3 linked regions of the Coturnix japonica genome follow. The protein of the gene in region 2 binds, or shares a complex with, the protein of the main gene of each other region. Links are inferred from orthologs where the notes say so. Each region holds a gene or a part of one and is shown on either strand. Other genes may lie near its edges.

Region 1 (3,651 bases), on a different chromosome or scaffold from region 2:
GTCCCCGAACAGCACCACGCGCGGCCATGACACCAGCCGGCCACGAACCGCCTCAGCCAGCGCCATGGCGGGCGGATGTCCGCCTACCACAGCGGGGGGAAGGCGGGGCCGACAGGGAAGGCTACAGCCTTAAAGGGCTCCGGAAGGAGATGTGAGGGAACCGCACTTTATTATGATCCACAAGCACTAATGCAGATGACACGGGTAACACTGCACACCCATTCTTTGAGCTTAGTTTCCCACTCATATAACGCATTTGAGTTGCTGATGAAAACGTTTATTCACTTTATAAAAAACAAAAAGTCCAAGTTTGAACGTTACAAGCTTTTTGTATGTGTCCTACGTATCTACAGGTCAGCAGTACACGGGGCTGAGGGCGTCGTACAGCCTCTGTGCAGCCAGTTCCACCATCTCTCGCAGGGATTCATCGTCCTCACTGCCTGGCTCGCAGTCAGCCGTCTGAGAGCACAAAATAAGCATGTGAGAACAAGCACAGCACACACAGGTAAATAACTCCCAGTGCTTCATGTACGTACCCGAGTTTCCAGTGAGAGGTTTGCAGTTTTGCCATCTACGGTGACACACAGAATGGAGCCTTCCTTGGAACTCACACAGTCCTCTCCAAACATATCCCTGGAACAAAGGTTGGCTCACATCAGGTAACTGCCAAACAGCAAACACATTTCCTCTCCATTAACCTTAGGCTTCCAAAGGCCCTGGATTTGAAGTCTCAATGACACCGAGAGCTTTTTCAGGGTACCTCAATCTTTACTTAACTCCAGGCCTACACAGAAGCGTCAATACATTAACTCTACCTTTAAGTGGTACTGTAATAAAACTACTCTATATACACAAATAATGGTGATCGCTTTCATTTAGAAAAAGATCCACTGACTTACTGAAGCATCATTTCCACTCTCTTGCGATACTCTTCCGTGTCTACTTTTGTGGAAACTTTCTGCACTGCAGCTGGAAAGAAAAAGTCATTTTACTTTCATCTACTTCAAAGTGGGAGAAATCCCCGCGACTCGTTTCTAATCCCTCTGTTTTCTTTAGCTGTAGTGAAGTACATCACACAGTGTGGGAGAGGACAGAGAACAGCATAAAACTGAACACCAAACGCCAACTAGAAACTGATAGATAAGACATGTGCACATGCTGCAAATAATGCAAAGCTGTACATGTAATTCTGTGTTTAAGGAACATAAAACTCTTGAGAAGTTCCCTGAGGTGAAGCACAGCAGCAGGAAATCCATTTTAAGGCGTTCTAAAACTCCTGAAGCCTGATGTCCAAAATTCAGCAGTAAACCTCCATTGAAGAAGCATGTGCTACCTACCTTTCTGTATCTTGGGATTCGACTGAACTTCCAGTATCACTGTGGTCACGGTGTCTGCATACATGTCATTGGCAGGATTGGCCACCCACTGGAAGATGGACAAAACAGAAATCAAATCCCAGATTTCAGCCTGTTGTTGGGGCTGAATAAATAACACAACATAAAACAGCACTCATGGCCCTCTTGGAGTGTCACTGTACTCACTGTAGCCACTGAGTCACTGCAAGAGAAGAAACTGGCTGAGTGAAATAACATGCATCAACACAGCAGCATGGCCAAAGGCAACTTCTCCTCTTCACTCTGCTCATGATCCATCAGAAAGCTACTTAAAACAGTTCACTGTGCTCAGCATCTACATGATACTATTCTACAGGATCTGGAGAATGAAAATAGTTGTTTCCCCCCACCCAGTGCCTACCTCGAGGACTACCATGCCTGGTTCCTGGATTACAGTAATACTTTTGAAGACCTTCAGGGCTGGTTTCTGTTGGATTTCTATTTCCTCTACATCACCTAAGAAGCAGCGACAAATGGTTAGTGAGAATAAAATGACACTGAGAACAGGACTAACTGTATCTGCGTGGCTTTCTGAGTGTGCAGTATTGGCCATTGCACTTGCTTTGGATTCTCATAGCTCGTGGGGAGGAACAGAACATGTCGTCTGACACAAGGAAAGAATTCTTTTGTCTTAGTTTTATTAAATAGATGCCATTAAGCGTTCTGCTTTGGGGCTGGAGATAAAGGCTGATCACTTGCTAAATTTTCCATCGGGGTGGCTGAGCTGCTCACTTTGGGGCTGACAGGAGACAAAAAGCAGCTGAGGTTCAACATTGCTGTATGCTCATGGATTTGTATTACAGTTATATTAGGATGCCCACACAGGGTTTGTCACACTCGTGAGATGGATGTGGCAGAAGCTGCACTACATAACGAGAGCTGTAAGACACAAACCAAACTGTGGCACTGCAGAGCAAAGAAGTTCCCACTCAGAAGGTCCCTCCAAAGACTGTAAGTTGATTTAAGAACAAATCACAAACATTTCTTTCTGAATACACACCCGTAAGCTTCTGCAGCTGATAAAAGAGCAGATTGAAAGGGCCGGTATATGGAATGGCCAGTGTCTGTGTCACAGTGCTCATAGCCAAGTCCGTATAATCTGAAAGAATTGTTAAAAGAATGTCTTAACAACAGTTTACTTTAAAAGCTTTAAGTTTGCTTTCTAAAACAATCAGGTTGTCAGCACAGAGAAACAACGGCACCAAAACAATGAAGGCAGAGGGTGCAAAAGGACCGATTGTGAAGAATGGAAATCCTTGATTCTCACACCAACAGCCCAGAAATGTAGGCAAAACTACGCCAAACTGACACCAATGGACACGCGTCCAATGATTTCCTCCAACACAAAGTAACAAACAAGCATCCAAAAGCCAACACTGCACATAATGACAGAGAAGGACACAGAGAGTTTCAATGATCCACTAAGTAAGTTACCGCCTTCACTTACTGGAGAGGTCACACGGAGAAAGGATGTGATAGTTAAAATTCCTTTTGACCAGGATTCCAGAAATTCTCTGTCCTTGCTCCGGCTTCTTATCTGCTAAAGAGCCCATCACCTGAAAAGGAGGAGAACACAGCTAATGTAACATTATTTTTAAGCTGTTTTTTGAAATCATTTTACTAGATGCACCGCATTCATGCCTACAGACCTCCCTCTGCTAGAGCACCCTGTTTACAAGCTGTCTCACTGATTGAAGTATCTAAAGACAGCAGCTCTAAACGCCTGATTACAGTCAAGCATGTAATTATTTAATTCAGCCAAAGTAATTATTCTCCTCTAGTATATACGGATGGATTGCGTGTTTGACAGCATCTTCCTGAAATGTAAATGAAGCCTATCATATTATTTATGCACAAAGCGCAGTGCTCCAACATGACTGGAATTGATATTCTTTGTTAGGAGAAAATTGATGAGCGCTGTTCAGATCACACAGCAAACAGACTGGGATGACTGGACTGAAAACACCAGCAGGTTATGGGTAGCAGAATAGATCTACGTTAGCTAAACAAAAACATTCATATATGTTGTGACCTTGTAAAACACATGCAATCCAAACCCAATTTACCTTAGAGGCTTGGAAGAGAACATACAACTTAGTTTCATAGGATTAAAAACAAGTGTCATTGTATGGAGATGAAAATACTTGATTTCATACCTTGGCAAGCTTTTCTCCTCTGAAGTTTAACGTCACAGCTTCAGTATTCCTCGGATTATGAACTTCTATATGAACTTCGTCGTTATCTTCATACTCCCGTA
Region 2 (2,303 bases):
TAGATTTCAAGTTAGAAGATGATGAACTTGATTCATGGCACTCTGAACAAACAGCAGTGCGTACATAAAGGCTTTAGTTTTCCACGGTATCAAAAATCAGAATTTAAAATAATTGATAGTTGGCACAACTTTGCAAAAGCTAGAAGGTACAAATTCATTAAGTTTGTACCAAAGTTACTCTGATGGACATAATTGCTAGATTTTTAGCTGCTTGAGGATCTTCTCCAGTCTTCTTAACTTACCTTTTCAAAGTAATATTTTGATCCTGCAGATTAATACTTCATACAGAATATGAAATGCTGTACTGGAACAAGTCATTAAGAGGAGACAAGCAACAAAATTAAGATGCAGCCAGATTAACACTGGTGGAACATACCGGTAGACAGCTTTAAGTGGGCTTTTAAAAATATATTTTAACTAGACCCCATTTAAAATGTAAAAAAAAACCAAAAACAAACAAACAAAAAACCAAGACAACTCAAGACAATCTTCTATCAATCAAACTTGTTGAAATAACATAAAACTAACAAAAAAAAAAAAAAGAGAGAAAAAAAAGAAACCACAACTCCCTAGATAAACTTATCTGAGAACAGAAGAATGACTTATATCTGTTTTGTAGTCTTTGGCAGGGAATCTAACAAATCAAAACACATTCTATCAATGTGAAGCCTTCCTGAGAAACAGTTTGTGGTCATAAACTCATTTCTAACACGTTATGTGGGAGATGAGTCATAATAGTTTGAAAGTCAAGAACATGGAACATACCAACAAATTTATGAAGAGCAACAATGGCCATTATTTACACATCCAGGGTACTTAACTGATCTTTATGAATTACTTTTTCCTTGTATAAATTAGAAAATTACAAAAAGTCCAGAGAGAAATCCTCCACACGTTCAGAAGTTCAAGCAAAACACCTTTAAGAGCTTCCTTTAGACAATAGCATATTGCTTGTATAAAAGTTCTCTTATCCTATAGAAGTCCTGACAGAGACAGCCTTCCAATCCAATGCGCCCCGTTTCAGTCTGAAACAAAAAGACATTTCAATTCAATACCTTTAAACAAACAAGAAGCTTAATTTTCATTTAGAATGTTATTTAGCAAAGAGTTTTAAGACACAGATCACCTACCCTGCGAACAGCCACCATATTGTTGCACACAAGCACTCCTCCTACGAACTCGGCTTGAATTCCTTCTCGCAAGAGAACTTGCTTGAAGTCAGACAGTCTTGGCTCATTCATAAACACAGACTGATGTCCAGGAACCTTTAAACAATGAAAACAGTTTTAAAACTTCTGCTACTTATTGCCTTTCATTTTTCCAAAGATCATCTCCTTATTGTGTTGGCAGCAGCGGGGCCTATGGATAGGCTAAAGGACTACAAAGGAGAAAACTGGCAAGACAATTCCAGGATGGGAAGCCTCAGAAGTCATCTGTCAAGCAAGAGACTTCTTTCTGAGCTCACATATTGAAGACTCTTTTGAGCCAAGTTATGCCAGGGACAGAGCTGCAGTAAGCTGCACTGCTGATCAGTACATGCTTCCATACTAGTTGTCATGAATCTGAAGAGACTTAGGAGTTGTCTCATGTTTATCTAGCTCCTAGAACAGACTACATTCAAGACTCTTCAATAGTACCTTAAGTAATTCTAGGAGTAGGAAGTACTTCATTAACTGAACAAATGAAATTCTCTATTCACACGTGCAAGAATTTTCATTTAAGAGTAATATTATGAAAAAATTAATGAGCTTTCAGATCACTCAGAGGCAGAGATGTAAGAATTTCAGACATATGTCTACTTAGGTACATTATATACTTCCCATGGCATCGACAAAACATAATGGAACCCAAGAAAAACTAAATATCAACTGATTTAAAAAACCACAGGTATTAATTACAAATATGGAACACAGCAATCTAATATTGACCAATAGATAACTGTACTCCAATAGGTAACTGTACTCTAGGCACCATTACTGGATGCAATAGTGCTTGCTGAAAAGCTTAAAATCTGAAACAACAGTAACAGTATTAGAATACGGAACTCAGGAAAAAAAAACAAACAGAATTAGTCTAAACCAGGAAAGTTTCTGTACCTCATGAGGTGGCAGTGGTTCCAAAGTAGGAATGATTTCACTCTCCTCACACATCTCCTTATCATCGTCACCAAAGAGACTTTTCATGGCCTTTTGTTGAGCAATGACACTAGAGTCTGAAGAGGGCACATCCACCTGCATCTCTAACTCTTCATCTTCCCTCAGCTCTCCCTCTTCCAAAATAACTCCCGTATCCACTTTTGAAAC
Region 3 (4,240 bases), on a different chromosome or scaffold from region 2:
TACCAGCATTCATAAGTTCAGGCACAACGGTCTTATTGCCTGACTTAACCTAGAGGATGAACACCAAGCACTCACCCCTAGTGAGTGAACTTCTACCAGACTGGATTATTTATGTGTGCTTTTAAAAACAATGCAGAAACTGATTTTTGGAAGAGAGTCATGATAACAAAAACCAAACATTTAGTGCACCAAAAGTGTGGAGAAACTACAAATTGCACACTAACCTCAATCCAAGGAAACCTACAAGACTGTAAGTTTCTGACAGCAAGTTGCCTCATTATGTCCAGATCTCCAGAGCTGGAAAGCAAGTGCATAAAAGTTTTGCACCCCCATGCCCTCTGCTGCTCATCAACTCCCCAAAACAAGAGTCATGCAAAGACCAACTGCTCAGCCTACTCAACTCATACTAAAAAAGAGAACATAAAGCACAAAACCCAGTAACAATGTGAACTTCCTCCCTCTTCCCCAACATGACAAGCTCTTGAGAGAGGAAACATCTACAACACATGGCGAATTTAGGGGAATAAAAAGATAAAAGAGCTAAGCAGACCTGAAAAACTACAATGGAACAGTGTCAGCAGACATGGAAGAACTGAAATATTCTGAGGATGGAATAAGAAGGATGTACCAGGATCTTCTTCACCAGACTCCCACGCTTGCAAGGAACACTACGTAGGAGCTACAATGTTTCTTACCGAATTTGGAGTAGAAGTAACACTCAGGCATCTTGGTCATGTCATACTCGTGCAGAAACTCACACTGGTCTCCCTTTTTGCATAGTCCTCGTAGCCAGTGTTTGCAAACGACAGTCTTTTCCCCACTGATGTGTCTGAATGGGCACATACCTCCTGCACAAGGATGAGGCAAGGGAAATGAAAAAGAGGAACAATTAAACTCTGCAGTACAAGCAGGAACACAGCAACAGCAGCGCTTCACTCGCCTCTACAAGAGAGGTTTCAGAAGAACTCAGTTTTTCCTTATGACTTCAGTTCTTAATGGTAACGATAAACAAGGACATCCAGACAAGTCCTGTTTTACCCTCTAATGAGCTGAGCACTGTAGTCTCCATGTCTAAATCCCAGCAGCCGCAACCCATAGACACTAAAACAGCCACATCCACAGCAAACCCCACACAATTTGTGGAGTTAACAAAAGCCATGATTAACATAGAACGTGCCAGCAAATCTATTTCTCCTCCCTGCAATACGAGTGTAAGTGTACTGGAAATACAACTTGCCTTTCCCGCATGCTGCTTTTAAAAAGAATTCACAGACAGCTGCACCTGATTCTGTGGAAAGAAGAAACAAAATAAACGTTAACAAACTTTAGTAGGAGCTTCCAAAGTATTTTCTGCCTGAAGAAACGACTGAGTCCTCAAATTCAAAAGAGAAACAGCATTTTGGTTTGAGGAATTTACATCCCTGCATGAATTCTTTGTTCAGTTCTGGCCTTCACAAATGTCTGTATTCTCCTCAATGAATACACAGCAGGGAAATTTGCAGTTCTGTTTATAGCCTTTCAGACTTCAGGTTGGGCAATGACTATTAAACCACTTGCTGTAGTGAAACATGTTTATAGCCCTGGCTCTCAAAGTCTTTTCTGCAGATCAGCCTGACCCAGTTGTTGCTGCGTTATCCCTCACTGACCTACAGGAATCACAGCACTCAAGGGAGCAATGTGAGGTCAGCAGCACTGACACAGAACGTCAGCAAACTGTTGAGTCTCCCAGGACTACTTGCATCAGTGGACAGGTTGAAGACCCCTATGATGACCAAGTCCAACCAGCCCATTCTCACCACATTGACCATGTCCTTCTGGAGTTGTAGGGAATGATGTGGCCTCCCCTGACTCCCCCATCTCCAGACTAATGCAGGAAAGTGCTCAGATCCCAGACTGTGAACACACCTACACCTTCCCTGCCACCAAAACACCTCACCTATCAAAAGGGCAATCAAACAACAGCGTGGGACAGCAGTGTTTATTCACATGAACGCCTCAACTTTCCTTCCATCCCAGCACGGCACAAACTACGGCTACAGACACACAGCACCCGGCCCAAGGCAGCACCTCAGGGCAGCAGGAGCTGAGGGGACACGAGGAGCCCAGCACAGGGCACGGAACAGCCCCATCCCCACCACCACAGAATCACAGAATGACCCGGGTTGGAAGGGACCTCAAGGATCATGTAGTTCCAACCCCCCTGCCTGGCAGGGCCACCAAACATACACCTTTACTACATCAGGTTGCCCAGGGCCCCGTCCAACCTGGCCTTGAACACCTCCAAGGACGGGGCATCCACAACCTCCCTGGGCAGCCTGTTCCAGGGCCTAACCACTCTCCTAGTGAAGAACTTCCCCGTAACATCCAACCTAAATCTTCCCTCTTTTAACTTAAAACCATTTCCCCGTGTCCTGCTATTGTCAGCCCTTTCCAAGAGTTTACTCCCCTCCTGGCACTAAGTTCCCTTCAGGTACTGAAGGGCTGCACTGAGGTCACCCCACAACCTTCTCTCTAGGCTGATCCCTTCTCTAGGCTCCATCCTTGTCCCACCACCCCGGCTCAGGGATAGAGGTTATGCCGCGCCCGGCGCCCACACGCACTGTCCATGCCGGGAAAGGGCAGCGGCTGCGCCCCCAGCTGCTGCTCCACCGCCAGCTCCAGGTCGAACTTGATGTGGTCCACGCTGGCGATGAGCTCCTGCATGGTTGCAGCCGGGGGGCGACGGCACCGGGTGGGAAGGGGTGGAATGGTTGGGGCCGGCTGTGGCCAGGCCCGGCCCGGCCTGGCCCGACCCAGCCTGCTTCTCTTCGGCAGCGCCTCAACACTCAATGGGGCCGCGCGCGACCCGCGCCGCGCCGCCCGCCCGTCCCGGAGGATGCCGGGAAAACACCTCCGGCTCCGGCCGCCGCTTTGAACACGCCTCTTCCTGCCGCGCATGCGCCGTGGCGCTACGGTGGCCGCGAGGGGGCGGGGCGGTGTGTGCGCCGCGCTTCGCGATGCGGCCTGCACGGCTCCTCCTCAGCCTCCAGCCCGTCCCTTGGCGGTGCTGCCGGGCCGCTGCTCCGCTTCCCTCCGCCTTGTTCCGGTACCTCAGGCCCAGCTTCCCTTCACTGCGTGGCCTGAGGGCGCTGAGCTCGTCGCAGCCGCCCCCTGAGGTGCGCGGTGCTGAAGGCGAAGCTGGTGATGATGATGATGATGATGATGATGAAGGTGTGGAGTTCGGGACGCTGTCTGCTAAGTTCTCCCATAGGAAATATTACCACAAAACCACGGCGGTGTTTCGGAACTTGAAGCTTGAAGAGGATGGGGAGGAAGAAGGGGAGAGGAGGCTGTGGTACGGCCGCAGGAACACGCCGTACTGGTATTTCCTAAGGTGCAAGGCCCTCATCAAGGAGGACAAGGTGGGATTTGGGGGTTATAGTAACGTTTGGTGCTTGTGAACGAGCACTTTGCTGTTAGGATTAGAATGGTTCGCTTGGGAGGGGCTTGAAGTGATCATCAGGTCCCTTTGGCCTTTAACTGAGGTTAAAGTTGCCTTTAAAGTTGCTACTCCTGCCTCCTGTTATAGCTGTCTGTCTGCACTCAGCACTTTTGAAGCCATGCCTCAAGTACTTGTTGTTCAGTTTTGGACCATTCGCTACTAAAAAGATGTGGAGGCCCAGGAGTGTGTCCAGAGAATGGCAATAAAACCATGAGCATAAGTCTTATGGGAAGCAGTTCAAGGTCTGAGGAGACCTCATTGCTTCCTGCTCTCTGAAAAGAAGTTGTGGTGTGGTGGGAGTTGGCCTCTGATCCAGGTAGCAGTGATAGGATGTGAGGTGATGGCCTCAAGTTGTGCCGGGGAGGTTCAGGTTGGATACTAGGAAACATACTTGGAACGAGTGGTAATGTGTTGGAACAGACTGCCCAGGAAGGTGGTGGAGTCGCCATCCTTGGAGGTGTTTGAGAACTGTGGAAATGTGGCACTGAAGGACTGACAGATCAGACTTGATGATCTTAGAGGTCTTTTCCAACTCATTATCATCATTATTAAAAGAAGGAAAACAAGAATTTATGAGGAATTCTGTGCTCTGTAGGATTTCTGACTACAGCTAAGGCTATTCATTGTAACTGAATTGTTGCTTCATAAAACATTTTCCTTTTCTCTGTAGCTGGCAGAGGCCCTGGAGCTGTTTGAGGTGCAGATGCTGAAGGAAGAGCGAGTAAAGCCAGAAGAAATCAATTACACTGTTCTCATTGG

What was found.
Region 1: CPSF2 (region 2) and CPSF3 share a complex: the UniProt entries of both Homo sapiens proteins name them as parts of the cleavage and polyadenylation specificity factor (CPSF) complex. The link is inferred for Coturnix japonica from reciprocal best matches to the Homo sapiens genes CPSF2 and CPSF3.
Region 3: CPSF2 (region 2) and CPSF4 share a complex: the UniProt entries of both Homo sapiens proteins name them as parts of the cleavage and polyadenylation specificity factor (CPSF) complex. The link is inferred for Coturnix japonica from reciprocal best matches to the Homo sapiens genes CPSF2 and CPSF4.

Annotation. Positions count from the first base shown.
Region 1 is NC_029518.1:87,815,984-87,819,634, reverse strand, and holds the end of CPSF3 (cleavage and polyadenylation specificity factor subunit 3), read right to left. Parts: coding exon 3,551-3,651; intron 2,951-3,550; coding exon 2,842-2,950; intron 2,494-2,841; coding exon 2,395-2,493; intron 1,851-2,394; coding exon 1,756-1,850; intron 1,426-1,755; coding exon 1,338-1,425; intron 970-1,337; coding exon 900-969; intron 634-899; coding exon 537-633; intron 460-536; coding exon 355-459; 3' UTR 256-354; downstream 1-255. Other genes in the region: IAH1 (isoamyl acetate-hydrolyzing esterase 1 homolog), read right to left, coding at 1-66. UniProt on the Homo sapiens protein: Component of the cleavage and polyadenylation specificity factor (CPSF) complex that plays a key role in pre-mRNA 3'-end formation, recognizing the AAUAAA signal sequence and interacting with poly(A) polymerase and other factors to bring about cleavage and poly(A) addition.
Region 2 is NC_029520.1:40,441,479-40,443,781, reverse strand, and holds part of CPSF2 (cleavage and polyadenylation specificity factor subunit 2), read right to left. Parts: coding exon 2,097-2,303; intron 1,266-2,096; coding exon 1,131-1,265; intron 1,026-1,130; coding exon 933-1,025; 3' UTR 1-932. UniProt on the Homo sapiens protein: Component of the cleavage and polyadenylation specificity factor (CPSF) complex that play a key role in pre-mRNA 3'-end formation, recognizing the AAUAAA signal sequence and interacting with poly(A) polymerase and other factors to bring about cleavage and poly(A) addition.
Region 3 is NC_029529.1:4,430,374-4,434,613, reverse strand, and holds the start of CPSF4 (cleavage and polyadenylation specificity factor subunit 4), read right to left. Parts: upstream 2,815-4,240; 5' UTR 2,704-2,814; coding exon 2,601-2,703; intron 1,289-2,600; coding exon 1,238-1,288; intron 849-1,237; coding exon 696-848; intron 1-695. Other genes in the region: pentatricopeptide repeat-containing protein 1, mitochondrial, read left to right, coding at 2,815-3,401, 4,152-4,240. UniProt on the Homo sapiens protein: Component of the cleavage and polyadenylation specificity factor (CPSF) complex that play a key role in pre-mRNA 3'-end formation, recognizing the AAUAAA signal sequence and interacting with poly(A) polymerase and other factors to bring about cleavage and poly(A) addition.